Linked DNA regions of Elephas maximus indicus. The protein of the gene in region 1 purifies or fractionates together with the protein of each later gene. This does not show direct contact. Links are inferred from orthologs where the notes say so. Each region holds a gene or a part of one and is shown in the gene's direction. Other genes may lie near its edges. The genes, in order: PAM16 and DNAJC19.

Region 1 (15,591 bases):
AGCTACCATGTACCCCGCAAGGTGAGGGGGGCCTGAGCGGGGGTTGGGAGGCCTGGGGGGCCTGGGGCCTCATTGACCACTTGCCTGTCTTCTGTCGACCAGACTGTGGAGTTCCATGAGGACCTGTTCCCAGACACCACAGGCTGTGTGCCTGCCTCTGAGCCCCAGGCCTGGTGGGCTGGGAGCAACCAGCAGGTAGGACCCAGCCTGCTCACCACTCCCACAGGCAGCTGCCTCCAAAGGCTTCCTAACAGACAGGGTGTCCCATGCCCCCCAGTGCCCTGGCCCCTAAGCTGACCATGACACCTGATGGCCATCCTCTTCCCACAGGTGCAGAGGGTCAGCCTCAACCCAGCCCACCGACCCCACACCAGCTTTATGTCTACCCTGTTGCCCCCCACGGAGCAGCCCCCTGTACCCGCCCAGCCCACGGAGACCCTGATAGAAGACACAGACCCCAGTGTAAGTGCCGGGCCAACCCTGCCATGTCACTCCCCCAGGAGCATGGGGACCCTGGTCTGGATGTTAGAGGGGTCCTCCCCACCACTGACACCCCTGAGGGTGCCCAGGCCAACGCCCACCCAATGGCCTTTAACTTTGTGGTTGTCACATCCGATACACAGAGAATACACGTCATTAAGGAAAGGACTTAAACTAGTGTTATTTAATTGAGCAAACATTTACAAAGCAGGAGTTTTTGAATAAAAATCTGGATTTCTGGCTTCTCTTGAAATTTGGAAGATCTTGGCTGGCCTCCCACAGAGCTGGAGCCAGCAGCTGCCCCTTGCAGCCCCCCAGTCTTAGCTCAGCCCACTGCCTGTGTTTTCGCACTGCTGCCTCCTATCAGCATCTAGGTTGTGCCCCCAGCTCCCTTCCTTCCCCTGTTCCATGCCCTACAGCGGGTCATGCCTGGCCGAGGGGCCCACAGTCTGGGCAAGGCCCAGAGTGGCTACCCCAGATGCCTAGATGCCTCGCTGACCCTGTGCTGCTTCCCAGGATGGCTTCACCTCACCACCCAGCTCACTGACCTCACCCTCCACACCCTCCAGCCTGGGGCCCTCAAGCTCCAGCACCAGCGGCATCGGCACCAGCTTCAGCCAGAGGTCACTGCAGAGCCTGCTGGGTAAGTGCACTGGACAGATGCTTCCATGAGACCCTCCTCTACCCACACCCAAACAGTCCTCCCCTTTCTCTGTACCCAGACCCACCCCCACCTCCCCCACCTTTAACTCCCCCACCTCTGCCTCCCCTACCCCCACTTCCCCATCCTGTCCTCCCCACTTCCCCCACCCCTGCCTCCCTTGCTCCCCCGCCTCCCCCATCTCCGCCTCTCACACCCCTACCTCCTCCACCCCTGCCTCCTCCACCTCCAGCTCCCCCAACCTGCCTCCCCCACCCTCTTCTCTACCACCCCCTCCTCCCCAACCCCATGTCCCCCTCCCCTGCCTTTTCCACCCCTGCCTCCCCCACCTCCGCCTCCCCTACCCTCACCTCCCCTAGCCGTCTCCCCCACCTCTGCCTACCCTACCCCTAGCTCCCCTACCCTTGGCTCCTCCACCTTCGCCTTCCCCACTCCCACCCCCACCTCCCCTGCCCCTGCATCCACCCCCACCTCTTGCACCCTTGCCTCCCACACCCCCCTCTCCCACCCCTGCCTTCCCCAACCCTGCCTGACAAGTAGAGTGAGGAATCGTTCCTGAAGAGGATAAAGTGAGGATGGTAGGTCTTACCTACAAAGCAAGATGGTCTAACCCAGTGGTTTCTAAGCTGTGTCCCGTGGAACTCTGAGGTTCCACCAAGATACCATGGGGCCACAGAGGGGCAAGGGTCTACCCCAGTGGGTCCTACTCCTGTGTGCACTGTGTTCAGATGGTCAGCAGAGGGCAGGCCAGGTATACACCGGGGCATCTCCACACAGTGAGAGCAGCAGGACTCAGCCTGGGCTCTTCCTACAGGAGCAGGCAGGCAGGTGGGCACGGGCATCCTCATGCATGGCCATGTCCCTGCCGCCCACCAGGTCCTAGCTCCAAGTTCCGCCACGCCTATGGCACCGTCTTGCACCGAGACAGCCACATCACCAACCTCAAGGGGCTCAACCTCACCACACCTGGCGAGAGTGACGGCTTTTGTGCCAACCGGCTGCGTGTGGCGGTGCCCCTGCTCAGCAGTAGTGGGCAGGTGGCTGTGCTCGAGGTGAGGGCCTGCAGGTGGCAGCCAAGTCACCCAGGGCATTGAGACTCACACTGGCTCATTTTTGCCAAGTGCCCATCATGTGCCAGGTACCCGCTCAGCCTCCCCATGCAGTGGGTGCCACACTGATCCCTGTTTTACAGATGAAGGTGTTGAGGCACAGAAAAGCTTAGTGACTTGCCCAAGGTCACATAGCTGTGTAAGTGGTAGAGCTGGGAGTCAGACCCAGGCCCTCAGCGTTCCATGCCTGAGCTCTTCTCACCATTCCATGCTGCCCTGTCCCCATTTCCAGGGCCTCACAGTTGGCACCTGGGGCTCAGAGCATGAGGTAGCTGAGGCAGAGAGCTTGGGCAACTCAGTGGTGGGGACGTCGGCTGCAGGGGAGCCCAGACATGCTGCTTCCGCTGCAGGCCCAGGGGAATGGGTGCTCCTGCCTGGTACTGACAGGCCATGGGGGGGCACCTCCCACAGCTGCGGAAGCCTGGCCGCCTGCCTGACACTGCGCTGCCCACGCTGCAGAATGGGGCAGCCGTGACCGACCTTGCCTGGGACCCCTTTGACCTGCATCGCCTCGCTGTAGGTAAGAAGGTGGGCATCAGGCCATGTGGGAGGGTCCTGGGCCCTGAATAGGGACAGGGGACAGCTAGGGGTTTCGACCACAGCAATGCTGAGCCACTGGCCTCTGCAGCTGGGGAGGATGCCAGGATTCGACTGTGGCGGGTGCCTGCAGAGGGCCTGGAAGAAGTGCTCACCACGCCCGAGGCCATACTCACAGGTCAGGTGGGACCAGGGAGGGCGGGGTGCAGGCAGAGGCTCCCAAGGGGCTCAGTGTCACCCCTTGCCTACTCCCAGGCCACACGGAGAAAATATACTCCCTGCGCTTCCACCCACTGGCGGTTGATGTCCTGGCCTCTTCTTCCTACGACCTCACTGTTTGCATCTGGGACCTAAAGGCTGGAGCTGAGCGGCTGAGGCTACGGGGCCACCGGGACCAGGTGGGGCAGCCTCGAGGTGGGGGGCCTAGCCACAAGGCAAGAAGCCACCTCTCATGGCCCCACCCACCCCCAGATCTTTGGCCTTGCCTGGAGTCCAGATGGGCAGCAGCTGGCCACTGTCTGCAAGGATGGGCATGTCCGGGTCTATGAGCCCCGGAGTCACCCTGAGCCCCTGCAGGTGAGCAAGTGAGGACTGGGGGCAGCCCCGAGACCCAACTTGGGCCTCACATGCTGTACCCCAACAGGAAGGTCCAGGGCCTGAGGGGGCCCGTGGAGCCCGCATTGTCTGGGTATGTGATGGCCACTGTCTGCTGGTATCTGGCTTTGACAGGTGAGGGCTAAGGGACCACCATTCCTGTTTCCTGGTTTTGGCAACCACCTGTGTCCCCCTTCTCCAAACACACGCACCTCCTTTATTTGGATGGGTGGATGGATGGATGGATGATGAGTGGGTGGGTGGATGAATGAATGGATGGAAGATGGATAGATGGAGGATGGGTGGTTGGGTGGATAGATGATGGATGGGTGGGAGGGAGGTGAGGAGGGGGAGTCATCTGGGGACCCAGAGGGTTGAGAGCCCAGCCTGGCAGGGAGCCAGGTGATGTGCAGGGAATACAGAACCAGGAAGACTGGAGTGACCTGAGAGGCATTTGGCTCATCTGAGGAGGGATCAAAGAGGGCCTTCTGAAAGAGATGTCATCTGACCTGGGTCACGAAGGGGTGGTCACCAGAGACCTCAGAAGAGGCCATTCAAGGACCAGGATGCTGAGCCAACCTGGCTGGAGCAGAGAGCAAAAGGCAGAAAGTGGGGAGGGAAGTCCTGGAAGGCCAGGCGAGGCCTTGAAGACTAGACTGCGGATGCCACAGCAGCCATGGGACCGAGACCAGTGCTGAGGAGGGGCAGGGGGCAGCAGCCAGGAGGAGGGGCCAGAGGCAGGGCAGCTGGCCAGGAAGGGATTTCTGAGGGCCAGACTAGGCAGAGGGTGGGCGGGGGCCTCTCCCAGCATCCACTGGCCCTCAGGCTTCCTCCAGACAACAATAGGGCCCTTGGAGTCTTTGCCCTGTCCCAGGCCCCTCCCGCTCTAAGGACTTGCTCCTGCCCCCCTTGCAGGCGCAGTGAGCGCCAGCTGTTGCTGTATGCCTCTGAGGCCCTGGCTGGGGGCCCCTTGGCCGTGCTAGGCCTGGATGTGGCCCCCTCAACACTGTTGCCCAGCTATGACCCAGACACGGGCCTAGTGCTCCTCACGGGCAAGGTGGGCTGGGGTGAGCCAGGTGGGGTGGTGGGCAGGTGAGAGGAGGTGGGAGGAAGGTGGGGGGGTCGGTGAGGTTTAACTGGCCACCCCACTCTTACCTCCCCCTCCAGGGCGACACCCGGGTGTTCCTGTATGAGCTGCTCCCTGAGGCCCCTTTCTTCCTGGAGTGTAACAGCTTCACATCGCCAGACCTCCACAAGGTGAGCCCCTCACCCAGCCCCCAACCCTGGGGGCCTAGTCTAGCCACCAAAGATGGATCCTCACGATAGGATTCCTGGATGGGACTCAGGGCTCTCACGCCCTCTGGTGGCCATGTGGGAAGTACAGGCATCTGTGAGGTCAGTGGGTCATTAACCTCGGCCTGCCTGGAACTAGAAGGACCCTGCTAAGGTTAGGGCTGGGGGTGGGCTGGAGCCAGTCCCCAACAGCTGGTGACATTTCCAGGAACTTTGCAGGCTGGTTGTTAAACTCTATTATTATTAAAAATTATATAAACTGAACCATTTGCCATTGAGTCGAATCTGACTCATGGCAACTCCATGTGTATCAGAGTAGAACTGTGTTCTCTAGAGTTTTCAACAGCTGATTTTTTGGGAGTAGGTTGCCAGGCCTGTCTTCGGAGGCACCTCTAGGCAGACTTAACCTCCTACTAGTCACTTAGCAGTTGAGCATATTGACATTTGCATTGCTCAGGGTCTCCCTATATAAGCTTAAAATTGAATACATTATGTTAAAAGCAAAGGTAGTGAATACTCAAAACTGGACACTTCCTGATAATTGTACCAGGTTTTAGTATTATCTGTGCTCTTGAAGTTATTTGCATCTATCATATCTATTGGAAACCCTGATGGTGTAGTGGTTAAGTGCTACGGCTGCTCACCAAAGGGTCAGCAGTTCGAATCCTTGGAAACTCTATGGGGCAGTTCTACTCTGTCCTATAGGGTCGATATGAGTCGGAATCGACTCAATGGCACTGGGTTATATCTATGTGGTGGATACAGCACACGATTGTGTACTGCAGATCTCTTTCCATTGCTACATGTTAGCTTGAAATTAGCCATGGTGGGAATATTTACACCATGGAAATAGACAAAGGCTACAAATCAAGGCTTTTTTCCTCCAGAGACCCGTGGTTTCACAGTTACCAGCACACCGCTAACTAGGGACAGGTGTGGTCCTGGTGGTCCTAGGAGAAGAAGACTGGTCCTCTGGGGTCCCTGTGTGCCCAGCCAGAAGCCCCAGATCCAGCTCTGGCTCTGACTTCCCTGGTTTCCTTAGGGCTTCATCCTCCTGCCCAAGACAGAGTGTAACGTGCGGGAAGTGGAGTTTGCCCGATGCCTGAGGCTCCGCCAGACCTCCCTGGAGCCTGTAGCCTTTCGGCTGCCCCGAGTCAGGGTAAGGTTGGGGACCAAGGGCTCCGATACTCAGCCTCCCTCCTCAGCACCTGTTGGGGCTTTGGGCCTGGCCCCATCCCCAGACTTCTCCACTCATTGCTCTTTGGGGACACCTGCCTCCTCATTCAGCTGAGATTCTGGAACCCCTAGACTGTAGGGAGGGTCCCAGGCATCACCACGCACCCCAGTCCCTGGGCAGTACCCCTGGGCAGTACCTCAGGACGACCCCTTCCTTCCTTCCTGCAGAAAGAGTTTTTCCAGGATGACGTGTTCCCAGACACAGCCATGAGCTGGGAGCCGGTGCTCAGTGCTGAGGCCTGGCTGGGAGGTGCTAATGGACAGCCCCGGCTCCTCTGCCTGCAGCCTCCCGGCATGACCCCAGGTGGGATGAGGGACCGGGTCTGGGTGGAAAGAAGCAGGGGAGTTGGTGGGGATGGAGGAAAGGGCAGAAGGCCCAAGTCCAATCTCTGTCTCTGCTGGCACACAGAAACTTCTGGACTCCCAAGGATGGTGGGAGTTGGTGGGTGTTCCAGACTTAGTGTTTGAGTCCCTGGAGGGCAGGGCCCATGGTCTTTGTTTCTGTCACAAGTCCCCACCTGCTACACACATACATCCTGATGCCCAGTGCAGGCCTTGTGAACGATGGGTCCAGTCACTGCCAGTGCTACCTCTTGGGTCTCTGCCATGAAATCCCCTACAGCTGGCTCCTAAGGTTTAGGCAAGTACCCCCTATCCAGGGTGCTCTCTGATGCCTGCCCTTACCCTGCCCCAGTGAGCCAGGCTCCCCGTGAGGCCCCTGCCCGGCGGGCCCCCTCCTCAGCACTCTACCTAGAAGAGAAGTCAGATCAGCAAAAGAAGGAAGAGGTAGGTGTGGGAGAGGGCCACCAGTAGGGAGTGGGCAGTATCCAGTTCTCTACCCGCGCCCCCCTCACCCCGCAAAGTTTGGTCTAGACACCTCCCAGAGCCCTGAGTGCTGACCTGCTGCTGCCCACACAGCACGGGGCCCTGAGGCCAGGTAAGGGCTGTGAGTGTCCTGCCTTGTCCAGCCTTAACCGAGCAAGCCAGAAGTTTGAACCCAAGTGCATTGGGGACCCTGGTGCACATCTGAGAGTTTGCAGGCAATGAATGGAGACAGCCTCCCTGCACCTGTGTTTCTGGCGCTTCGTGCCTGTGTCTCTGTGTCTGTGACCCCCCATCTTTGTCTCTGTGCCCTTTTCCATGAAAACCCACCAGCTTTGTTAGCGTTCTAACTTCACGACGTTGTTGCACGTAAACTGTGGGGTCTGACATTCTTGGGGTCAGAGGTCTGTTCCCTTTCTAACATTTCTCTTGTCTACACTCTCAGCTGCTGAACGCCATGGTGGCGAAGCTAGGGAACTGGGAGGACCCGCTCCCCCAGGACTCCTTTGAGGGTGTGGGTGAGGACGAGTGGGTGAGTAGACGGATGGGCCCCAGCACCACTGTGCCTCCCCACCCCTGCAGGGTGCCCCACCTCCTCCAGCATCACCACCTTCCTCACCACCCCTGCAGGGTCCTTCGTCTCCTCCAGCATCACCATCCTCCCTCCCCACTCCTGCAGGGTGCTCCACTTCCTCCAACATCATCATCGTCCTCCCCACCCTTGTGGGGTGCTTCACCTCCTCCAATATCACCACCCTCCCTCCCCACCCCTGCCTCCCTCCCCACCCCTGCAGGGTGCTCCACCTCCTCCAACATCACCACCCTCTTCCCCATCCCTATAGGATGCTCCACCTCCTCCAGCATCACCACCCTTCCTCCCCACCCCTGCAAGGTTCTCCACCTCCAGCATCATCATCCTCCTCCCCACCCCTGTAGGGTGCTCCATCTCCTCCAGCATCACCACTCTCCCTCCCCATGCCTGCGGAGTGCTTCAGCTCCTCCAGCATCACCATGCTCCCCCGCCCCTGCAGTGTGTTCCACTTCCCTCCCACGTCTTTGTTTATCCCCCTAGGACTAGCCTACGCACCATTCACCTCTGGTCTGGCCTCACCTGCCGCTGCTCATCCTAGACCACCTGAGGCCTGTGCAGACCTCATGTCTCATCCTCAGACTGGAAGGTGCCTCTATGGCCCCAGCGCACCTCATCCCCAGAAGCCTGGCTTCCTTCGGGCCTTTGGCCCTTCCATGGCCTCTTAGCTCCCCAGCCACTTGTGGGGATTGTCCACACCTCTGCTTTCTCTGGGACCAGCTGCTTCTCCTCAGCTGCCTGCTAGCATGTGGAGCCAAGGGGGACATGGGGGTCAATAAGCATGTCCCTGAGCAGGCCCTGGGCCCCGCCTCCCATGCCGATGTGGGCTAGTCGCAGCCTGGGTTGGCTTTGTTCAGCACCTTCAGCTCCTACAGGCCGACCTGTCTTGCCTGCTGCCCCAGTTCTGGTCAAGAGCCTCAGGGGCCGGCCCTTCACCAGGCCATTTGGTGCAGCACCAGCCTCAGGGGCCTGGGACCAACTGCTCCTGCTCTCCAGGCTTGAAGCCAGGAGAAGTGGGCACCCCAGAGCTGATGGCCCAGTTAAAGGGGTATGAGCCCCACAAGGATGGGCCTGCACAAGGCATATGTTCTCAGCAATTAAAGTTTTCTAAGCTGACCACGTCTGTGCTGCTTACTCTGTGCTGGCTGAGAAGGGGATGAGGGGAGTATTGTCAGAGAAGTTTGGCCCTGGGCTGCCCAGTCCCACACTTCACCTTGCACCTTGCCCCTAAGGCCTTTCAGCTGCATGCTGCTGGGGAGTTCATTCATTCATTCCACCCAGGGTTCTCCAGAGAAACAATCAGCAGGAGACAGATTTGTAAAAAGACATTTAAAGAAGCCCTAGTGGTGCAGTGGTTAAGCGCTCAGCTGCTAACCAGAACGTCACCAGTTTGAACCCATAGTGGATACTCGGGAGAAAGATGTGGCAGTCTGCTTCCGTAGAGACGACAGCCTTGGGAACCCTATGGGGGCAGGTCTGCTCTGGTATGGGTCGGAGTCCATTCCACAGGCAACGGGTGCGCTATTATGTTGGTGGGGAGTTGTATGTTTATTTTATATAATGTTTTAACCTCAAATAAAAAAAAAAATATTTTGGCAAAATCAAAGGAGGAAGTTGCCCCACATTTGACCCATGCATTTCGCTGCTTCTAGCAAACGGGGTCCTGGGGAAGCCCCATCGCCCGCTCTCGGTAGTCCCCTGAGTCGGGTCTGAGGCAGGCTCCGCCCCCATCGTGTTACGTCACTGCCTGTGTACTGCCTGTTGGAGGGCGGACGCGGCGCGCATGCCCGGCGTGGCTTTGCGCACGCGTTCTCCCAACCTCCCGTGACCTCTGACCTCCTGGCCGCCCTAGAACCCGGGCGGCTGGGGACACAGAAGGCGGATTCTGCCCCAGAGGCAGAGCGGCCGCGATGGTGAGGCGTGAAACCGGGTACTGCCCGTGGGAGGGAAGCCGCTTCAGGGCTGGGGCGGCTGGCAGTGGGCCCCGGGCCGGGCTGTGGGGGACGTCCGCCCCGTGGGCCGCCCCGGGAAGCGAGACTTCGGGCGGCTTTTGCGAACGTTCCCGGGCCGGCCGCGAGCTGGAGGGGCCAGGCGAGGGGTAAGTGCCTGGCTTGAAGGCAGGGCGGGCTTGGCTCGCCGGAAAATACCCAGTAGAGGTGGTCGCCTGCGTGCACCGCGTGTGCCAGCCCCTGTCGAACAGCCGCAGGCACCCAAAGGTAGGGGATAGATGTGGTCCATAGCACCTGCTCGCTCCTTGAGCGCCTTAGCTCTGCAGAGTGAGCGCCGTCTGTATTATGACCTTCGTTCCCAAGCTGACGAAAAGGGCTCCGAGAATTTCCCCAAAACGTGGCAGGACGGAGACTCGAACCAGGCCCAGCGGCACCGACAGTGGAGCGTTTCTACCACACCATTGGCGCCTACAGCCGTCCACCGACCTGGGCCACACTGGCTGCGCCCGGTTCCCGGGGGGAACCTTTAAAATACAGGTTTTTGAGCCTTATCCCTGGAGGTCCGATAAATGTTAATACGAATATGTATATTTCTAGATAGTAGTACATCCCCGAGTGATTCAGACCCAGCCGTTTTGGGGAACCACTGCTTTAATTATAGGCCACTCCTTAATGAACAATAATAGGGTAATACTAATAGCTGACACCGACAGCCTACAGGTGCCAGGCTCTGGATTGAGGATTTCATAATATATTTTCTTATGTAGTTTTTACAGAGCAAACCAGTTGGTGTTGAGTCGATTCCAGTTCACAGTTACCCATGCGTGTCAGTGTGTTTTCAGTGGCTGCTTTTTTGGATGTAGCTTGCCAGGCCTTTCTTCCAGGGCACCTCTGGGTGGACCTGAATCTCCAACTTTTTGGTTAGGAGCCACAGCCTTGCCTTTTCAGTACATTTCATGTGTTTACATTTACGTATATGTAAATAGAAGTATACAGCTTCTATTACATTTGCACCACCCAGGGACTTAGCTGTGGCGGCCAGAGCTCTGCTCAGTGTGGAATCCACAGCTCTAAGCACAGGCCTGACCTGGCATTCTGTGTGCCTCTGGGTCCTGAATAAGTGGATGAGAGGCTAGCTTCACTGTCTGGTCTCCAGACCATTAATACCAAGCAGAGTCTTGTCTGGAAGCAACGATATTGTTGTGCTCCTGCTCTTGGTCTGGCACTGCCTGTCTGTCACCTGTTTTACGGGCATTGCTCCATGAGGGTCTTGTAGCCCTCCTGTGTCATCATCTTTGTTGTTAGCTGCTGTTGAGTCAGTTCTGACTCAGAACAACTCTATGTACAACAGAATGAAACACTGCCTGGTCTTCCACCATCCTCACGATCCTTGTTATGCTTGAGCCTATTGCTACAACCAGTATGTCAATCTCCTTGAGAGTCTTCCTCTTTTTCAGTAACCCTCTGCTTTACCAAGAATGATTTCCTTCTCCAGGGACTGGTCCCTCCTGATAACATACCCAAAGTATGTGAGACAAAACCTCGCCATCCTTGCTTCTGAGGAGCATTCTGGCTATACTTATTCCAAGACTGACTTGTTCTTCTGGCCGTTTGTGGTATATTCAGTATTCTTCACCAGCACCATAATTCAAAGGTGTCAATTTTTCAGTCTTCCTTATTCGTTGTCCAGCTTTCATATGCATATGAAGCAATTGAAAACACTGTGGCTTTGGTAAGGCACACCTTAGTCCTTAAAGGGTTACCTTTGCTTTTTAACACTTTAAAGAGGTCTTTTGCAGCCTTTTAGATTTGCCCAGTGCAATGTGTTGTTTAATTTCTCGACTGCTGCTTCCATGGGCATTGATTGTGGATCCAAGTAAAATGAAATCCTTGACAACTTTAGTCTTTTCTCCATTTATCATGATGCTTATTGGTCCAGTTGTGAGGATTTTTGTTTTCTTCATGTGGGGGTGCAGTCCATACTGAAGGCTTTGATCTTTGATCATCATCAGTAAGTGCTTCAAGGTTGTGTCATCTGCATAATGCAGGTTGTTAATAAGTCTTTCTCCAATCCTGGTGTGATGTTCTTCATATAGTCCAGCTTCTCAGATTATTTGCTCAGCATACAGATTGAATAAGTATGGTGAAATGATACAACCCTGACGCACACCTTCCCTGACTTTCAACCATGCAGTATTCCCTTGTTCTCTTAAAATGACTGTCTCTTGGTCTATGTACAGGCTTCTCATGAGCCCAATTAAGTGTTCTGGAATTCCCATTCTTCGCAGTGTTGTCCATAATTTGTTATGATCCACACAGTCGAATGCCTTTGCATAGTTAATAAAACACCAGGTAAACATCTTTCGGGTATTCTCCGCTTTCAGCCAGGATCCATCTGACATCAGCAGTGGTATCCCTAGTTCCATGTCCTCTTCTGAATCTGGCTTGAATTTCTGGCAGCTCTCTCTCAATGTACTGCTATAAGCACTTTTGAATGACTTTCAGCAAAATTTTACTTGTGTGTGATATTAATGATACTGTTCAACAGTTTCCATATTCTGTTGGATCACGTTTCTTTGGAATAGGTATAAATATGAAGCTCTTCCAGTTGGTTGACCAGGTAGCTGTCTTCCAAAATTCTTGCCATAAGTGAGTGAACACTTCCAGTTTGTTGAAACATCTCAATTGGTATTCCAAAAATTCCTGGAACCGTGTTTTCTGCTAATGCCTTCAGTGCAGCTTGGACTTCTTCCTTCAGTACCATCAGGTCGTGATCATAGGCTACTTCCTGAAATGGTTGATGTCGACACATTCTTTTTAGTACAGTGATTGTGTAATATTCCTTCCATCTGCATTTGATACTTCCTGCTTCGTTCAATATTTTGCTCATAACCCATTGCCATTGAGTCGATTCCGACTCAGTGACCCTAAAGGACAGAGTAGATCTGCCCCATAGGGTTCCCAAGGAGCACCTGGCGGATTCAAACTGCTGACCTTTTGGTTAGCAGCCATAGCTCTTAACCACTATGCCGCCAGGGTTTCCATTTTGCCCATAGGATCCTTCAGTATTGCAACCCAAGGCTTGAATTTTTTCTTCAGTACTAGCGTGTTCTTCCCTTTTGGTTTTCTAACTCCAGGCCTTTGCACATGTCATTATAATACTTTGTTTTCTGGTGCCACCCTTTGAAATCTTCTATTCAGTTTTCACTTCATCATTTTTTCCATTTGCTTTAGCTACTCAGCATTCAAGGGCAGCTTTCAGAGTCTCTCCTGACATCCATTTTGGTCTTTTCTTTCTTTCCTGTCTTTTTATTGACCTCTTGCTTTCTTTGTGTATCATGTCCTTGATATCATTCCACAGCTCCTCTGGTCTTTGGTCATTAGTGTTTAGTGCATCTCTAAATTCTTGAGATGGTCTCTAAATTCACGTGGGCTATACTCAAGGTCATATTTCGGCTCTCGTGGACTTGTTCTAATTTTCTTCAGCTTCAGCTTGAACTTGCATATGAGCAGTTGATTGTTCCGCAGCCGGCCTCTGGTCTTGTTCTGACTTATGATATGGAGCTTCTCCGTTGTCTCTTTCCGCAGATGTAGTCATTTGATTCCTGTGTATTTCCTCCAGTGAAGTCCATGTGTATTGTCACCATTTATGTTGTTGCAAAAAGGTGTTTGCAATGAAGAAGTTGTCGTTGGTCTTGAAAAATTCTGTTATGCAATCTCTGGTATCATATCTATCACCAAGGCCATATTTTCCAACTACTGTTCTTTCTTTTTTTCCAACTTTTGCATTCCAATCACCAGTAATTATTAATGCATCTTGTTTGCATGTTTAGCCAATTTCAGACTGCAGAAGTTGATAAAAATCTTCAATTTCTTCCTCTTTGTACTTAGTGATACAGTTTCATTGTCCCATTCTGCTGATGAGAAAACTGAGGTTCAGAGAGGTTGAGTAATTTGCCCCGGGCCACATGGTTAGCAAGAAGCACAGCTGGGATTAGATACCAAAGCATTATTTCTTTTTTTTTTTTTTTAAACAATATTTTAATAAGTTTTTAGTGAAAGTTTACACAGCAAGTTAGGTTCCCATTTGACAGTTGCCACACCAATTGTTCAGTGACGTTAGTTACATTTATCACAATGTGTCAGCATTTTTTTTGTGTGTTCTGGTTCTGTTTCCAGTGCTCTAGTTTCCCTGCCCTCTTCTCGTCTTTGCTTTTGAGTAATTGTTGACCTTTGGTCTCATACTGATGGTTTTTAAGCAGGGCACTGACCTTACAGATAATATCCTTTATTTTATGTGCCACTCTGCAATTTCACTAAAAGGAGATCCCAGGTTAGGCTCGGTTCTAGGTTTAAAGAGAGTCTCAGGGTGATAGTTTCAGGGAGATCTGTGTTCTCTACTGTTCCAGTTTGTCTGGCTTTATTTTTATTTTTTAGTAAGAATTTGAGTTCTGCTCCGTATTTTTGTCCCATTCTATCTGGGGCCAACTGTTGTGACCCCAGCCAGAACAGTCAGTGGTGGTAACCGGGCACCATCTGGTTCTTTTGGTCTCAGAGTAGATGAGGTTGTGGCTCATGTAGAGTTGTTTCTTTTCTGCACTTTTGGTTACGTTCTCACCATCTTGCTTCTGGCAAATAGAGACAGGGAGTTGTGTCTTAGATGGCTGCTCACAAGCAGAACAGTGTTCTTGCTCCTCTTCCATGGTTCTTGGGGAATATCTACGGCTTTCTGCAGTCTTCACCGCTGAGGAGTTGGGGTCTCTATCCAATGAGCTGGTATGTCGGAAGATACTCTGGAACTCCTTAGCACCTCGCCACTGTGAAGTTTTGTGAAAAAGAAGACATGACAACATTTATGAAGCACTTCCTGTATCATTAGGCTATGTGCCAGGTACCTTATAAGCATTATCTCTTTTAGTCCTATAACAACAGCCTAATGGCTGGCCACATTTTTCAGGTGAGAAAACCAAGACTCAGGGAGTTAGAGAACTTGTCCAGAGTCCCACAGCCGGGATTTACACATTGGCACTGGTCCCAGAATCTCCCCTGGCAGGCGCCTCTTGTCCAGGCAGCTCCCATGCTGAAATGGGAGGCCAGCCCAGCCTTCCCTGTGGCTGTGCAGCTCTGGGCAGCTGGAACAGCAGGGCCACCCATGCCACTTTGGTTTGAAGCCTGCAAGGGGTGGTGGTCTCTGGTAGCAGCCAAGCTCCTACACTCATTACTTAGGCACATCACTGCCCTGGGGAGAAAGGGAGCAGATGACTGCAGAGCAGTGTGATGAGGTTGCACAGGGAGGGAAGGCTGTTAAGGGAGGTGTGGTCTGAAAGCCAGGGGAGAGCTGAGTTAGCCGTGGAAGGTGCTCCAGGCTCAGGGGACCCTTTGGAGTCATCTGCTCCCCAATCAAGCTTCCCTGTCGCCAAGCCGGGACAAGTAGTCCATCTCAGGGCTTCCTGCCCCCACCCCTACCCCCGCCAGTGGTGTTGAGCAAGAAGCCAGGTGAGGCTACCTGTCAGCAAGTGCAGTCCATCATTTTACTATGCCTGCAGACCAGCTTGAGGCAGTCCTGCCCTTGGCTTTGATCACAGGAGGGAGCCTCAACTGGGCTTTGCTTTCAGGTGTGAAATGCAAGGCCTAACAAAGCTCCACCTGCTTGTGAAATGCAAACCCACTTTCATTTATTAATTCTCCCTAATGGCCCATAATCACAGCCTTCCTGTTAGGGAAGGGCCAGTTCCTTGGAGGCTAAACTAGGCCAGTTCTGGAGTCTGGGGCAGCCATGTTCCATCAGAACCTGGCGAGCCCCTCTCTGCCTCCTGGGCTGCCTGGGGTCTTGGTACTTGTTAGGCTGCTCTGGCTCCCTCCTTCCATCCTCTGGGATCCTGGGCAAGGCGGGCAGCCTGTGGACACCATAGCTCACAGTGCAGCTTTGGGTTCCAGCTCCGCTGCCCCATGCACTGGGCGAGTGACTTTGGCTGATCACTTAGCCCCTCTGTGCCTCAGTGTCCTGGGTTGTCAGGGTTAATGGTATGGTAAGTGGGACATGTTTGGCACACAGGCGCTCGGTCACTGTCAGCTGACCAGTAGGCAGAAAAATACAAAGAAGACAGGATAAGCCACTTGGCTTTCTCACGTGAGCTCTGGTCACTGACGGGGGAATGTGCACCACGTGTGCACTGTTCCACATACTTGTGATTGCTCTCGTATATGCCGTGTGTGGTCTGTTCCACTATGTGGGCAGCATGGTTTTCCATCTCAGCCATCTTCCTAGTCCCTTTCTCACTACTTCTTTCCCAGCTCCCTAAGCTCAGCCTGCCCAGCTCT
Region 2 (15,341 bases), on another chromosome or scaffold:
TTTCCCAGGCCAGAGGTAATCCCTGGAGTACTTTTTAACATATTTTTCTGGCTTTTATTTACATAATCCGAACTAACATCCTTATACGGCTGTTTCTTGATTTATTTCTATTTTATCATTATTCAGTGATTTCCTATCATAGAAGATAAAATTTAATCTGTCCTATGGTGGTAAAAAAAAAAAAAAAAATTTTTTTTTATGGTGGTGGCTCAGTGGTTAAGAGCTACAGCTACTAACCAAAAGGTCAGCAGTTCAAATTCACCAGCCACTCCTTGGAAACCCTGTGGGGCAGTTCTACTCTGTCCTATAGGTTCGCTATTGAGTTGAAATCGACTCGATGGCAACAAGTTTGGTTTTTTGATTCTACACATCACCTGTAGCTCTGGAGGCACACTGGAAAAAGGTTGGCAGTTCAAATCCACCAGCTGCTTCTTGGAAACCCTCTGGGGCAGTTCTACTCTGTGCTATAGAGTTACTGAGTCGGAATCAACTTGACAGCAATGAGTTTTGGGTTTGGTATACATCACCCAATGCACATGTGCACATATTTTTCCTCCTTTCATCCCTCTGGAAACCCTGGTGGTATAGTGGTTAAGTGCTCTGGCCACTAACCAAGAGGCTTGCAGTTCAAATCCACCAGGCTCTCCACTATGGGGGCAGTTCTACTCTGTCCTATAGGGTCACTATGAGTTGGAACCAACTCAACGGCAATGGGATTTTTTTTTTTATCCCTTCAATAAAATTACATGATTGTGTAAATATTGTTTATATTTGAGACAAAGGGTGTACTAGGATTACATATTTTTCCTTGTAATGCTTTTTGTTTTTCCTGGAGTTAGCAATTGCCTTATTTATTTTTTAAATAACTTTTATTAAGCTTCAAGTGAACGTTTACAAATCCAATCAGTCTGTCATATAAGTTTACATACATCTCACTCCCTACTCCCACTTGCTCTTCCCCTCTTGAGTCAGCCCTTTCAGTCTCTCCTTTCGTGACAATTTTGCCGGCTTCCCTCTCTCTCTATCCTCCCATCCCCCCTCCAGACAAGAGTTGCCAACACAATCTCAAGTGTCCACCTGATATAATTAGCTCACTCTTCATCAGCGTCTCTCTCCCACCCGCTGACCAGTCCCTTTCATGTCTGATGAGTTGTCTTCGGGGATGGTTCCTGTCCTGTGCCAACAGAAGGTCTGGGGAGCATGGCCGCCGGGATTCCTCTAGTCTCAGTCAGACCATTAAGTTTGGTCTTTTTATGAGAATTTGGGGTCTGTATCCCACTGATCTCCTGCTCCCTCAGGGGTCCTCTGCTGTGCTCCCTGTCAGGGCAGTCATCAATTGTGGCCGGGCACCAACTCGTTCTTCTGGTCTCAGGATAATGTAGGTCTCTGGTTCATGTGGCCCTTTCTGTCTCTTGGGCTCTTAGTTGTCGTGTGGCCTTGGTGTTCTTCATTTTCCTTTGCTCCAGGTGGGTTGAGACCAATTGATGCATCTTAGATGGCCGCTTGTTAGCATTTAAGACCCCAGACGCCACATTTCAAAGTGGGATGCAGAATGATTTCATAATAGAATTATTTTGCCAATTGACTTAGAAGTCCCCGCAAACCATGTTCCCCAGACCCCCGCGCTTGCTCCGCTGACCTTTGAAGCATTCATTTTATCCCGGAAACTTCTCTGCTTTTGGTCCAGTCCAATTGAGCTGACCTTCCATGTATTGAGTGTTGTCTTTCCCTTCACCTAAAGCAGTTCTTATCTACTGATTAATCAATAAAAAAAACCCTCTCCCACCCTCCCTCCCTCCCCCCCTCGTAACCACAAAAGTATGTGTTCTTCTCAGTTTATACTATTTCTCAAGATCTTATAATAGTGGTCTTATACAATATTTGTCCTTTTGCCTCTGACTCATTTCGCTCAGCATAATGCCTTCCAGGTTCCTCCATGTTATGAAATGTTTCAGAGATTCGTCACTGTTCTTTATCGATGCATAGTATTCCATTGTGTGAATATACCACAATTTATTTACCCATTCATCCGTTGATGGACACCTTGGTTGCTTCCAATTTTTTGCTATTGTAAACAGAGCTGCAATAAACATGGGTGTGCATATATCTGTTTGTATGAAGGCTCTTGTATCTCTAGGGTATATTCCGAGGAGTGGGATTTCTGGGTTGTATGGTAGTTCTATTTCTAACTGTTTAAGATAACGCCAGATAGATTTCCAAAGTGGCTGTACCATTTTACATTCCCACCAGCAGTGTATGAGAGTTCCAATCTCTCCGCAGCCTCTCCAACATTTATTATTTTGTGTTTTTTGGATTAATGCCAGCCTTGCTGGTGTGAGATGGAATCTCATGGTAGTTTTAATTTGCATTTCTCTAATGGCTAATGATCGAGAGCATTTTCTCGTGTATCTGTTGGCTGCCTGAATATCTTCTTTAGTGAAATGTGTGTTCATATGCTTTTCCCACTTCTTGATTGGGTTGTTTGTCTTTTTGTGGTTTGCCTTATTTATTTTTCATTGTTTAGTTTTCTATGTACCCACCACTTATTTATCTCTGAGTCAGTTAGGATGTTTCAGCTGTGAGTAATCAGAAAACCCATCTGTTACCTAGCACTGTGATAACAGAAATACCACAAGTAGGTGGCTAAACATTTCACCTTTTGGCCCCCCAAACTCATATCCTCCCCACATGCAAAACACATTCACCCCATCACATCATCCCAAAAGTCTTAAGTGAACTCAAAGTCTAAAATCTCATCTTCTGAATCATCTAAATCAAGTATGGGTGAGACTTTGGGAATGTTCCATCCTGGGACAAAATTCCTCTCCATCTGTGGACCTGTGAAACCTAGAATACAAGTTATCTGCTTCCAAAGTACAGTGGTGAAACAAACACAGGGTTTTTACAAATGGGAGAAATCAGAGGGAAAGAGGGGTTCGTGGGCACCAAGCAAGTCCAAAACCCAGCAGAACAAATTACATCAGCTGTTCTCCAGGACCATCTGAGCAATGGCCTTGCCCTCCATACTCTGGGTGTTAGCCATGCTTTTTGGATTTTGGGTGGAGGCCTCTAGGTCCTGGGTATCAGCCCCATCCAGGTCCACTAGGATGGCAACTCTGCTCCCTTGGCTTTGGGCAGTACCATTATCCTAGTTTATCTGAGTGGTGACCACAACCCCTCAGCCCTGGGTGGTTCCATTCTCCTGGCCCTTGGGAATGGCAGTCCCACCCCCTCTGCTTTGGGTGGCAGTCCGATCCTCCTGGCCCACCCAAATGGCAGTCCTACACTTCAGCACTAAGGTGCAAGAGGTCTAACTCTTTAAAACCTAGGAGGCTGTTTTTCCATCTTTGAAATGGAGGCAGCATTCTACCCTTCTAAACCGAGGCAGCCCTGCTTCCCATGTTCCTTCCAACAGTTCTGCTAATTTCTGAACTGCTCCAGGAATGGTACTTTCTTTTTTTGAAGGACCTCAGATGTTTGCAACCAAGTAGCTGTATTGGCCTATTTCCTGCCTGTAGAATTCCAAGAAATGGATATCCTGTCTCTGTCCCTTTAGTCTAAGCTGATGGGTTTTCTGCTGTGGTAGTGGATTCAATCCATCACTCACAGGCTTATCTTTTTAACAAAAGATTGGGTAGCCATGTCCTTGATGAACATTCTAGGACACGTGTCCTTAGTTTGTACAACAGAATTTTCCAAATCTTTTAAGTCCTGGTTTCATTTTGCACAGTTCATTTTTAAGTCTATCTTTTTCCTCTCACTTTTTACTCTAAGAGGCAAGGAGAAACCACATAGCCCGTTTAAGATCTTGCTTAGAAATCTTCTCAACCAGATATCCAAGTTCACCACTTACAAATTCTACCTTCCATCAAACATTCAAACATAATCCAGGTAAGTTCCTTGCTACCACATAAAAAGCATCACCTTCCCTCCACTGTCCAGTCTCATGCTCATCATTTCCTTCTAAAGTCTCACCAGAGCACAGGGAACACCCATATATCTAGCAACATTCTGTTCAAAACCATAGAAGCTTCTATCACAGCTCTCAGTTCCTTCTGAACCCTCATCAAAATTGCCCGTTATGTCCACAATTCTACCAACAGTCTCTTCAAAACAAACAAGAGCCTTACTATGAAGCATACCAAATTCCTCTAGCCTCTAGCCATTACCCAACTCCAAAACCACTTTCATGTTTCAGGTATTTGCTAGAGCAGCATTTTACTCCTTAGTAAACCAGTGATGCTGCAACAGAACTGCACGAGTGGATGGCTTTAATGAGCAAATTTATTCTCTCACAGTCTTGGAGGCTAGAAGCCCAAACTCAGGACACTGGCTCTAGGGGAAGGCTTTCTCTCTCTGCCAGCTCTGGGGGAAGGTCCTTGTCTCTTTTCAGCTCTGTTCCTTGCTTCCTTGGCATTCTTCATGTGGTATCTATCTTCCTCATCTGTACTTCCTTGCCTCTGTGCCTAATCTGCTGTTTCATATCTCAAAAGTGATTTGCTTAAGATACACCCTACATTGATATGGGCTCATTAAGATAACAAAGAAAAACTCTATTCCCATATGGGATTATTTCCACAGGTACAGGGGTTAGTATTCCAATACAAATTTGGGAGGACACAATTCAATCCATAACACCATCGAAAAACAGCTTAAGTTTATTTTTCTCTCACAAACCAGAAATCTCCAGGTGGGGTAACCAAAAAAAAAAAAAACCAAACCCAGTGCCATCGAGTCAATTCTGACTCATAGCGACACTATAGGACAGAGTAAAACTGCCCCATAGAGTTTCCAAAGAGTGCCTGGTGGATTTGAACTGCCGACCCTTTGGTTCGCAGCCATAGCACTTAACCACTACGTAACCAGGGTTTCTTTTTTTTTTTTTTTTTAGGGTTTCTAGCCCACCATTAATTAGGTCAGCTGCTCGGTACCACAATATAAACTAATCTTTCTGTTTGTCATCCTCACTGTATAAGCTAGTGTGAAAGAGACTCGCTCTGCCCTGTCCAATAACACAGCTACTAGCCACATTTGGCTGTTTAAAAACAAACTCACTGCCATCGAGTCAGTTCCAACTCACAGAGACCCTATAGGACAGAGTAGAACTGCCCTATAGGGTTTCCAAGGCTGTAATCTCTAGGGGAGCTGACTGCCACATCTTTCTCCTGAGGAGTGCCTGAACCACCGACCTTTTGGTTAGCAGCCGAGCATTTGATCACTGCACCATGAGGGCTCCTTTGAAATAAAATTAAAAATTTGGGCTTTGAGTCACTCTAAACCAAACCCAACCCAAAACAAACCCACTGCCGTCAAGTCGATCCCGACTCATAGCGACCCTACAGGACAGAGTAGAGCCACCCCACAGAGTTTCCAAGGAGTGCCTGGTGGATTCAAACTCCCAACCTCTTGGTTAGCAGCTGAAGTACTCAACCACTATGCCACCAGGGTTTCCTGAGTCACACTAGCCACATGTAAGTGCTCAATAGGTACATGCCATCGAGTTGATTCCAAGTCATAGTGACCCTATAAGACAGAGTAGAACTGCCCCATAGGGTTTCCAAGGAGTGGCTGGTGGATTTGAACTGCTGACCTTTTGGTTATTTAATGGGTTTCTTTTTTTTTTTTTTTTAATTATTGTGGTGAAAATATATGAAACAAAACATTTACCAGTTCGACAATTTCTACATGTTATAATTCAGTGACATTGATTACATTCTTCATGCTGTTATGATGGCTTGCTTTTGTAGTTGTTGGATAAAAGTTAGGTGAACGAGAAGCAAAAGATGAAGTTAAACACTTAATGCCAGTGTCTTAGCACAAGCTGTCACCCTGAATCACTTGTTGACAATGAATCACATCACAAACATCTTAGAACCTGAGGAGCCCTGGGAGATTCAAATGCAGGATCTTTTTGTAGCTGAGGAAAACAAAGTCAAGAAATGTGCTATTTGTCTAATAACCAGCTATTATGGATGGAATCGTGTCCCTTCAAAAGATATAGTGAAGTCTTCACTTCAAAAAATACGTCGTACCTATGAATGTAACTCTTTGGAAATAAGATGCTTGAAGATGGTATCAGGTTAAGATGAGGTCACACTGGAGAAGGGTGTGGGTCCTAATCCTGTATGACGGGTGTCCTTATAAAAGAGAAGATACACAAGCAGGGAGGCAGAGGAAGAACACCAGGTGATGCTGCAGCGGCAAGCCAAGGATCGCCTGGAGCTACCAGAAGCCGGGAGAGAGGCGTGGGACAGGTTCTCCCTCACAGTTTCAGAAAGAATCAACACAGCTGACACCCTGATCTCAGACTCTCAGCCTCCAGAACTGTGAGGCAATAAATTTCTGTTGTTTAAAGATGCCCAGCTGTGGTATTTTACTGATACACCACAGGAACCCATGAAAGCAGAATCTGTCTGCAGAGTTCACAGATCCTAACACTTTGTAAGTTCTAAGAGGGAAGTAAGTCCCTACGTTTTGGATTTGGAGAGCTGAAGCACTGTTGGCAGTCTGCGTTGATGATCCAAATACGGCATTCTAAAACTTCCATTATTGTCGCCACTTTTATCTTTTCAAGCATGTATGAAGGGATATACAAAACTGATGCCCTGTGGTGGCAAAAACAAACCCTACTTCTTTTGGGGGCAGGGGACACATTCTAAGTAGCATTTTTCAGTTGTGAGAATTTTGAAATCCCATGACCAGAATAGTTTTTGAGGTGGTAATCTCACCCAACAAAACTGAAAACCAAAACATTCGCACAAGGTTCTGTCGAGTCACGTATTTAAATAAAATTACTTCAAATAAAAGAATGCTACCAAGGAGCTCCTGAAATACGCTGTGGTTTTGTTCATTTAAAAAAAAAATTTTTTTTTTATGCTCGGTTGCTACACATTTGTTTGGCTTCATGGTGCAGCCTGTTATTGCGTATTTAGGGGTAGTCATTACCCTTGACAGTTATAAGGTCCTCGGGAGGAGCAAGCAGTCTGCGCTGGACTAACAGAAAGGCTGGAGGTCTGAACCCACCCAGCAGCACTGCAGAAGAAAGGCCTGGCAATCTGCCTCTATAGGAATTACAGCCAACAAAACTCTAAGGAACAATTCTACTCTGTAACACATAGGGTCGCTGAAAGTCGGCACTGACTCCTTCACAATAGTTTTAGTTTTCTTGGCCTTTTTTGAAATTATAAATGCTACTGGAAAGAAAAACGGTCCGAGTAAGGCTGCACAGTATTTGCTTATGCCTTACCTTCCCCTGCAAGAATTTCCAAACGCCCTTGGCCCAGAAGCAGGTGGGGAAGGGGGACCAGAGGGCAGCGGATACCGAGAAGCCACACCCTCGAGCCCGGTAGAAGGTGACCCGCCCACCCACACAGCACCCAATCCGAAGTCGCTCTCTCCGCCCGCCCACTACTTGAGCTACCTTTCTCCACCCCTCTTTCTACCTACCAACCAATCCGAAGTCTTGTTCTCCGCCCACCACCCGCCAACCAATCCGGTCTCATTCTCCGCCCGCCCACTGCTTGAGCGACCTTTCCCCGCCCCCTTCCACCCACCACCCAATCCGAAGTCGTATTCTTCGCCCGCCACTACCTGAGCGACCTTTCCCCCTCCTCGTTCCCCCTTTACGACAGTTTTCCGGCTAGCTTTGCGGCCGCCGCTGCCGGTTTCCTTGGTGCGGGTTCCCGGGCGGCCCGTAGCTGTCTGTGTGGCCGCGGCCTCTGGGCTGGGATGAGCTGCCCTCCCGGTGGAGGTAGGGCAGCCGAGCCGGAGCCATGGTGAGTGTGGCCTTCCGGCGCCCTCGGCCCGGCCTCCAGGAGAAGGCTGGCCTTGTGCTCAGCGCCCCGAGCCTTGTGCTCCTACCCGCCTTCCAGCGAGGCTCGCAGCCCTGTCCCCTCGCAGGCAGCCCCGGCCCCCTCGCAGGCGGCCCCGGGCCCCTCGCAGCGCTGGCTGGGTCAGCCGCTGCCGGGCTCAGGACTGGTGGAGACGCGGGGTTCTGGCTGCGCCCCGCGGCCCTGGCCCTCCGTCCCTGGCCCTCCTTCCCCCCCTCAGGCCCCTGTGAATGGAGCTCTTCTCCCAGGGCCCCGGACGTCTTTGCCCTTCCTCCCGCTCTCCCCGTGAGGCCAGATGGTGTCAAAGGCGCTCAGAAGAACTAGCGTTCTCCTTAATCTAACCCAAAACCGCCGAGCAGTCGCGACTGACAGCGACCCCATAGGGCAGAGCAGAGCTGCCCCACTGGGTTTCCGAGGAGCGCCTGGGGGATTCGAACTGCCGATCTTCTGGTTAGCAGCCGAGCTCTTAACCACTGTGCTACCAGGGCTCTCCCTAGTCAGCCAGCCCCCGTCTGTCGTTGGAAGTGCTTCCTCAGGTCCTAAGAGAACGCCCGTCATCGGTTCTTCCTCTTCCACCGCAAGCCTTATTTCGGTGGCTCCGGAGGCAACTTTCCTGTGACTTCGTTTGCTCGGGGATGAAAGGGGCATTTTCAAAGGGAAGCAATAATTGTTTTCACTATGTTAGGAGTCCATTAAGTCGACGTGCCCTCTTCCAAGTGAAAATCCCAACGAGCAGAGGTTTAAAGGATCACGGGGCAGGGTACTTTCACCTTGTTTCCCCCATGGAAGGGAAACTTGGAGTGGTTCGGGGCTGGCGAGTGGGCCGGACCGGAGCGGCTGGGCGTTAGAGAAGTAAATACTAATAACTCTTCCCTCCCCCAGGCCGGCACTGTTGTTGCAGTCGGACTGACCATCGCTGCCGCAGGATTTGCAGGTTCGTTTAGGGTTTGGGAGTGGATGTGAAGTGGGGGAGATGGGAGACTTGCTTATTGACTCTTAATTTGTTTTTAGGCCGTTATGTTTTGCGAGCCATGAAGCATGTGGAGCCTCAAGTAAAACAAGTCTTTCAAAGTCTACCAAAATCTGTAAGACTTACTAAACTTTTTTGCTAATTTTTTGCTGCAGAGGATAAATTTCCAAACATTTACCAAGTTCTCTTCTTTGGGCCCCTTCTCCTCTTTTCAGAAGAGAGGTTTCAACGTTCCAAGCTTTGTAATGGTGCTGCCCTCACACATGCAGTGTTATGAGACAGTGTTGGGGGGCGGGGAGGAGGTTGTTAATAATCTAGTATGGAGTGAAATCATCACTTTATTGTTCGCATATTGTTACTGCAGCCTCATTCTCTGTTTACATTCTTGCCTTCCCACTTGGCTCTGCCTCACAAGCCCAGAGGCCTGTAGGGCTTTAAAGTCATCTGCTGGTACTGTGTGGCCTCTGCACCCCCTACCTGGACACTTGTAATTAACTGCACTTAGGCTGTGGGGTATGATGCAGGTAGTGATCAGACCATGGTACCTTCTGTGGTCACAGTTTAGAATGAGTTTGGCTCTGACAGCCTGTTGTGTAGATGCTGTTGAGTAAATATTTTTGCGTGTGACCGAATGTGACAAAATAGGATGATGGTAGGCTTTACCAGTGGATCTGACATAACAAGATCAGAGGACCTGATTGCCTAATTGTGTTTTATTGGTTGCCTTGAGTCTCATGATACCCTTGAACCACTTGCTCCAGGAGGTGTCTAAATCCTCGTCTTGAGCCACTTGTTATTTTAAACATACTCATATTCTGAAATCAGATTTTCACCTAGACCCTGGCCACCTTGGAATAATCTTTTCTTTGTTCCCAGCTTTGAGTCACTGCTCAGTTGTCTTACATTTCCAAAGACAGTTAAGGTTGTCTAAAAAAATGGGTCTATTTAATGACGTTAAAATGATCATTTGTTGCTACTTGTAAATCTAAAATACTGTGGGAATTGCACTTAAAAGTTCTCTGAAATGAATTCCTGTTGTTTCTATGAACATTTACGAACATTTTCTTAGCAGCTTTCTTACTAATGCGTCTCCTCCTGCAGGCCTTCAGTGGTGGCTATTACAGAGGTGGATTTGAACCCAAAATGACAAAACGGGAAGCAGCATTGATACTGGGTGTAAGGTCTGATAATTCCTGATATTTTTGATATTTTTTCTACAACTCTAGAGATATGAGGAAGTGTAAGAATGACTTTCTCTAACAAAACCAAAAACCCATTGCTGTCAAGTCAATTCTGACTCACAGTGACCCTATAGGACAGAGTAGAACTGCCGCATAGAGTTTCCTAGGAGTGCCTGGTGGATTTGAACTGCCAGACTTCTGGTTAGACACTGTAGCACTTAACCACTGCTCCACCAGGGTTTCCCTCTCTCCAACTAGAGGGAGTTAATAGGGGTGTTGCCCCAAGAAGATTGATGTAATCAGTTTTAGTCAACTGTACCTACACTGCTCCCTCCTTTCACGTGTTTTAAAGGTCTAGATACTCCCTACAAAAGTCAGAAGAGAAGGCATACTAGCATATGGTGCTTTTTCATTTACTGATAAACATATCAACAGATAATCACAGTGCTCCATACTTTTAACTGATAAACATACGTTCTATGGTGAAACTCTGCCTTCATTTGTAAGTACTAAACATGCTTTCCTTTTCTATAAAATGACTTGTGCTTAAAGCACTGAACTCACCAGCTGCCCTGGGGGAGAAAGATGTGGCAGTCTGCTCTGTAAAAATTACAGCCTTGGAAACCCTATGGGACAGTTCTCTCTCCTATAGTGTCGTTAGGAGTCAGAATCGACTACACAGCAGTGGGTGTTATTTTTTTAAAACATACTTTCCTTTTATGGAAGAACGCCTTACTTTTCTGAGGAGCAGTTAGTTCTGGTTGAGAAAATTCACCTTGAGTGGAAGAAAAGAAGTTTCTAAGCAGCTCTTCACACTGTCGTGTAGACTTCCTACAGTTTCGTAATACCGTTAATTGGATTTCATGAACAATTTTTTTTAATGTGATTCAGAAATAGACTGAAGTAAACAATACCTTTTTTTTTTTTTTTAATTAGCCCTACTGCCAATAAAGGAAAAATCAGAGATGCTCATCGACGAATTATGCTCTTAAATCACCCAGACAAGGGTAAGTGGTCATAAATCCTTGTTTTATGTGTTGTTGGAATGACTGTTAATAGTGGAATAATTTTACATCAATTTCTGGTGGTCACCGTAAGGGAAATGCCCAGATGTGTGTGTGAGCGCTGTCTCCAAAAGTGGATGCATTTGTTTTTGGTGTCTTAAAAGAAGAAATGCTGAATGGAAAATGCACGTACAGAACTCTGAGCAGATCCGATAATTACTGAAATGCAGAAGTAATGGTGAGCATTAATGCCTGGAGATCTGCGGTTTAGAGAAGATGTGATTTATAATGTTGACAGAGCCATAAACTCTGCTGCTAACATGGTTTTTTGTTTATAGTCATAATTGAATGAAATGCTACGTTTGTTAATGAAATTAAAAATGTAGTTTTCCCCTACCTGTTAGACTCTTAGAACTAAAAAAAAAAAAAAAAGACCTAAATAGAAACGTATACGGTGTCGTTAGTTTCTGATACACCTACAAGCAGCTTTACAGTTCCCTCTTCTTTGGCTATGTGGAAAGAAAGCACATTAATTCCTTTGAGTACCAAAATAATAGACCACAAAACCCATGTTCCAATGTTCAAATACTTTTACTTCCATAAGAGAGGACTTTCCTTAAGAAAGAGGGTTTTGACCGTTTAAACAGAATTGCAATTGTTTGGTGATCTGATTTCTCAGCCTCTTCTACAGACTTTGGCTTCATTACCTGGAGGGCTTCTGATGCAGTAAGTCTAGGGTGGGGCCCATACATTTTGCATTTCTACTGGCTTCCCTGTGTGGCATATCCTGTCTGACTCTGGGGACCACACTCTGAAAATCCCTGCTCTAGTGGCAAAGCAGATTAGCAGGATGGCATCATTAAGGGACAGCTTATAACAGAAAAAGGAAGATCTAAAGCAAACGAGACTTTGCAACAAAGAGCTCACACAGAAGCCTCTGAAAATATCATGGTTTAAAACAACATGGTACAGTCAACTAGTGGTTGTTCATGACTTGGAGTCACTGTGAATAGGTAAACTTGGGCTATTTTCTAGGTACATGAGGATGTCTTTTTTAATCCCATTTCAACCATTTTGTTAAGCTTCAGGCAAATGTCATTTTTAAAGAAATACTCATGTAAATATGTCATCTCACATTGGTCAAATGTATCACCATTTCTGCTAATTTCACCTCAGACAAGCATAGGGATCTTTGAAACAAGAGTAGGTTTTCACCAAGCAAAAGCTGAGAAAATCCTTCTTACAACTGTTCCTTTTTTCTTTCTTCCTGTAGGAGGATCACCTTATATAGCAGCCAAAATCAACGAAGCTAAAGACTTACTAGAAGGTCAAGCTAAAAAATGAATTTTAAAGTACATATTAGTTTGTGTGTATGAATGAGTCTGACTTTTTATAATAAAATACCTCAAAGCTTTGATTTTTAAAAATGATTTAGCACAAAGTAAATCAAAGGCTTATATAATTTTTCTGTTTAAATTTGAGAACAGCTTAGAGTATTTGGCCTAGAATATTTGGAAATCGTTATAGATAAATGTATACCACTTGAATAGAAATACACTCACGTAGCGTATAAATAGGCACTTTTTAAGGTAAAGTGAACATGGTAGTTAGTCCCTGCTCTTGAGGAACCCCGTCTAATGAGAGAATGACAGATAAACTGTTAATTAAAGCACAAGGTGATAAATGTCATGATTTAGCACAAGCTGTTATAATGGGGACTCAACTCATTTGGAGGAAAGGCCGTTCAAGGTCCAAAGCAGCACATTGTAAAAAGCAAAGACCTACCTGTGTAGAATCTTATATTTAGCCATAACTCTGACGTAAGAAACTGACCCAGGTGTGTATATAATGTCACTGACAGAATTCAGACTTCATACATTAAAAACCATAACAGCCCATTGCCTGTTGCCATCAAGTCAACTCCGTCTCACAGTGACCCGACAGGACAGAGCAGAACTGTCCCATAAGGTTTCCAAGGAGCACCTGGTGGATGCGAACTGCCGACCTTTTGGTTAACAGCCATAGCTCTTAACCACTACGACACCAGGGTTTCTAAAACTAACAGTACGCAAAAAATAGACTTGAAAGTACAGTCCTGTTTTTAATCAAGAAAATATTTACATTGTATTCAACTAGCCCCTTCAAGGTATCGACCATTTATAGTTTATTTTTTGACATAATTAAAGTTTTACAGATGCCATCACCAAACTTAACTGTTATCGAAACTATAAATTGAAATGCCCTTAGTATCAAAATAGTATTCAGCCTGGACTCTTAAAAATTTACACACCAATAAATTTAAATGACATTTGAAGCAAATGGCTTGCAGTATATGGAGTATCATAAGAATCTTAAGCATAAAACCAAACCTGTTGTCATTAAGTTGATTCCGACTCCTAGCCACCCTGTAGGACAGAGTAGAACTGCCCCATAGGGTTTCCAAGACTGAAATCTTTACAGAAGCAGACTGCCACATCTCTCTCTCCCAGGGTCGCTGGTGAGTTCCAATCACTGACCTTTCAGTTAGCAGCTGAACACTTAACTGCTGTGGCACCAGGGCTCCTATATCTTAACCAGAGGACCTGTATAAAACCTGGGGTAGATAGCTGCGGTCACCACTGGGATTATTTATATTTGTTTGAGGATGAATAAGTTACACTACCTACCATCTAAACTTAAATCTTAGAAGTTCTCAATTACTAATGGAGAACACAAGGAATTTTGAGGTGAAGGTAATCATTTTTGTGTATGATGAATCTCTTTAACTAGACAAAACCTCATGTAGTAGGTGTAAATACCTGTGCGTGTTTCATGCAAATAGAATACCTGTATTAAGACAGTGGAAGATCATTTTAATCCTAAAGAGCATAGCAGAGCACATTTTCTTTTACATTCATCAGTTTTATTTTCTTTAGGCTTACCTTTTTCAAGTAGAACACAATCCATATTTGATCGAAGGTTTAACCTAGCATTTTTCTTGGAAAAAATTTATCTGTGTCAACTCTAGATTGTATTGGGGAAAAGCTGTCAGTATGATCTAAAAAAGAACCTTTATCCTTTAATGGTTGGTTTTTTTTTTTTTTTACACAAAATACTTGATCTGTAATGACAACATTTGAGTACTTACAATGTGCGGGCATAGTGCTCAGCATTTTCCTTGTCTCAGTAAATAAGCTACTTGCTATTATGTAATTTTACAGGTCAGGAAACTGAAGTTTATGGAGATTAACTTGTCCAAGGCCACATGCCGAATGAGGAGACTGAGTGCAGCCCGGTCTGTCCCAGCTCCAGAGCTCCCTATTTGTTTACCTCCATACTGTGGTACCTTTCACAGTTCTCAGAACCCAGGGACGTATTCCTTGGTGGTGCTGAGAGGTGACTCTTGATACTTATCATTACGCATCTAGTTTGGACCCTTTTTTTAACCAGTTGTAAACATTATCAGTGCCTATAACTCGTTGGCACCAGGTCAATTCTGACTCATAACGACCCTATAGGACAGAGTAGAACTGCCCCATAGTGTTTCCAAGGAGTGGCTGGTGGATTCAAACTGCTGACCTTTTGGTTAGCAGCCAAGCTCATAACCACTGCACCACCAGTAGAAATACACTGAAAAATAAAAAGGGGGGAGGTGTATGGTTGAACCCAATATTGGGGGAATAGGAGATGCAAGTTTACTCAGTAATTATGACACTTCCTCCACATTTTATGGAAGAGGAAACTAAAGGACATAGCACGTGGTTTCTAAGGCTGTATAGCTAGTGAAACTAGAATTAAGCCCTGGGTATCTTTTCCTGGTCACTTTGTTTATCTGTAATTTGGTTCTCTACATATTACTATTTAGTAGATATGTTTGGGGGCATTGCTATCCACAGCCTTAATACTAGATCTGGTTTCTCTGTCACTACTTAGCCCTTTCCGTTTTGCCTTCATGGGGGCCTTTGGGTTGACATTATTAGATGAGTCCTAAGCTGCTGTATAAAAACTTGGCTTTGCTGGTGATGAAAATGGGCCATAATGAGTGATCGCTTAAGTTAAATATTTTTAGAGTTTTAAACAAATTCTCGTCTTCAAATATTTTCCAAATGTTGGGATTACCTATAGAAACATTTAAATGAAGACAACAGCCTAGTTGTGAAGTTTAGTATTCCATGAGACCCAACTCTTTGAAGAACTGAGAACCCGGTGAGAATACGAGCCCTGGTGTCATAGTGGTTAAGAGCGTGAGTGCTAACCAAGAGGTCGGCATTTCGAGCCCATCAGCCACTCTTTGGAAACCCTATCGGGCAGTTCTGTGTTCTATAGGGTCACCGGGAGTCAGGATCGACTCAACAGCATTAGCTTTGATTTTCCTGTG

The links.
Region 2: the proteins of PAM16 (region 1) and DNAJC19 purify together in Homo sapiens (affinity purification with mass spectrometry; 3 studies listed by BioGRID and IntAct, with this or other methods). This does not show direct contact. The link is inferred for Elephas maximus indicus from reciprocal best matches to the Homo sapiens genes PAM16 and DNAJC19.

The regions. Positions count from the first base shown.
Region 1 is NC_064830.1:62,381,679-62,397,269, reverse strand, and holds the start of PAM16 (mitochondrial import inner membrane translocase subunit TIM16), read left to right. Parts: upstream 1-9,121; 5' UTR 9,122-9,231; coding exon 9,232-9,234; intron 9,235-15,591. Other genes in the region: CORO7 (coronin-7), read left to right, coding at 1-21, 103-195, 331-462, 997-1,123, 2,018-2,193, 2,662-2,770, 2,879-2,965, 3,043-3,185 and 9 more. UniProt on the Homo sapiens protein: Regulates ATP-dependent protein translocation into the mitochondrial matrix. Inhibits DNAJC19 stimulation of HSPA9/Mortalin ATPase activity.
Region 2 is NC_064819.1:34,021,143-34,036,483, forward strand, and holds DNAJC19 (mitochondrial import inner membrane translocase subunit TIM14), read left to right. Parts: upstream 1-7,634; 5' UTR 7,635-7,772; coding exon 7,773-7,775; intron 7,776-8,711; coding exon 8,712-8,763; intron 8,764-8,840; coding exon 8,841-8,914; intron 8,915-9,900; coding exon 9,901-9,980; intron 9,981-10,916; coding exon 10,917-10,987; intron 10,988-12,257; coding exon 12,258-12,328; 3' UTR 12,329-12,398; downstream 12,399-15,341. UniProt on the Homo sapiens protein: Mitochondrial co-chaperone which forms a complex with prohibitins to regulate cardiolipin remodeling.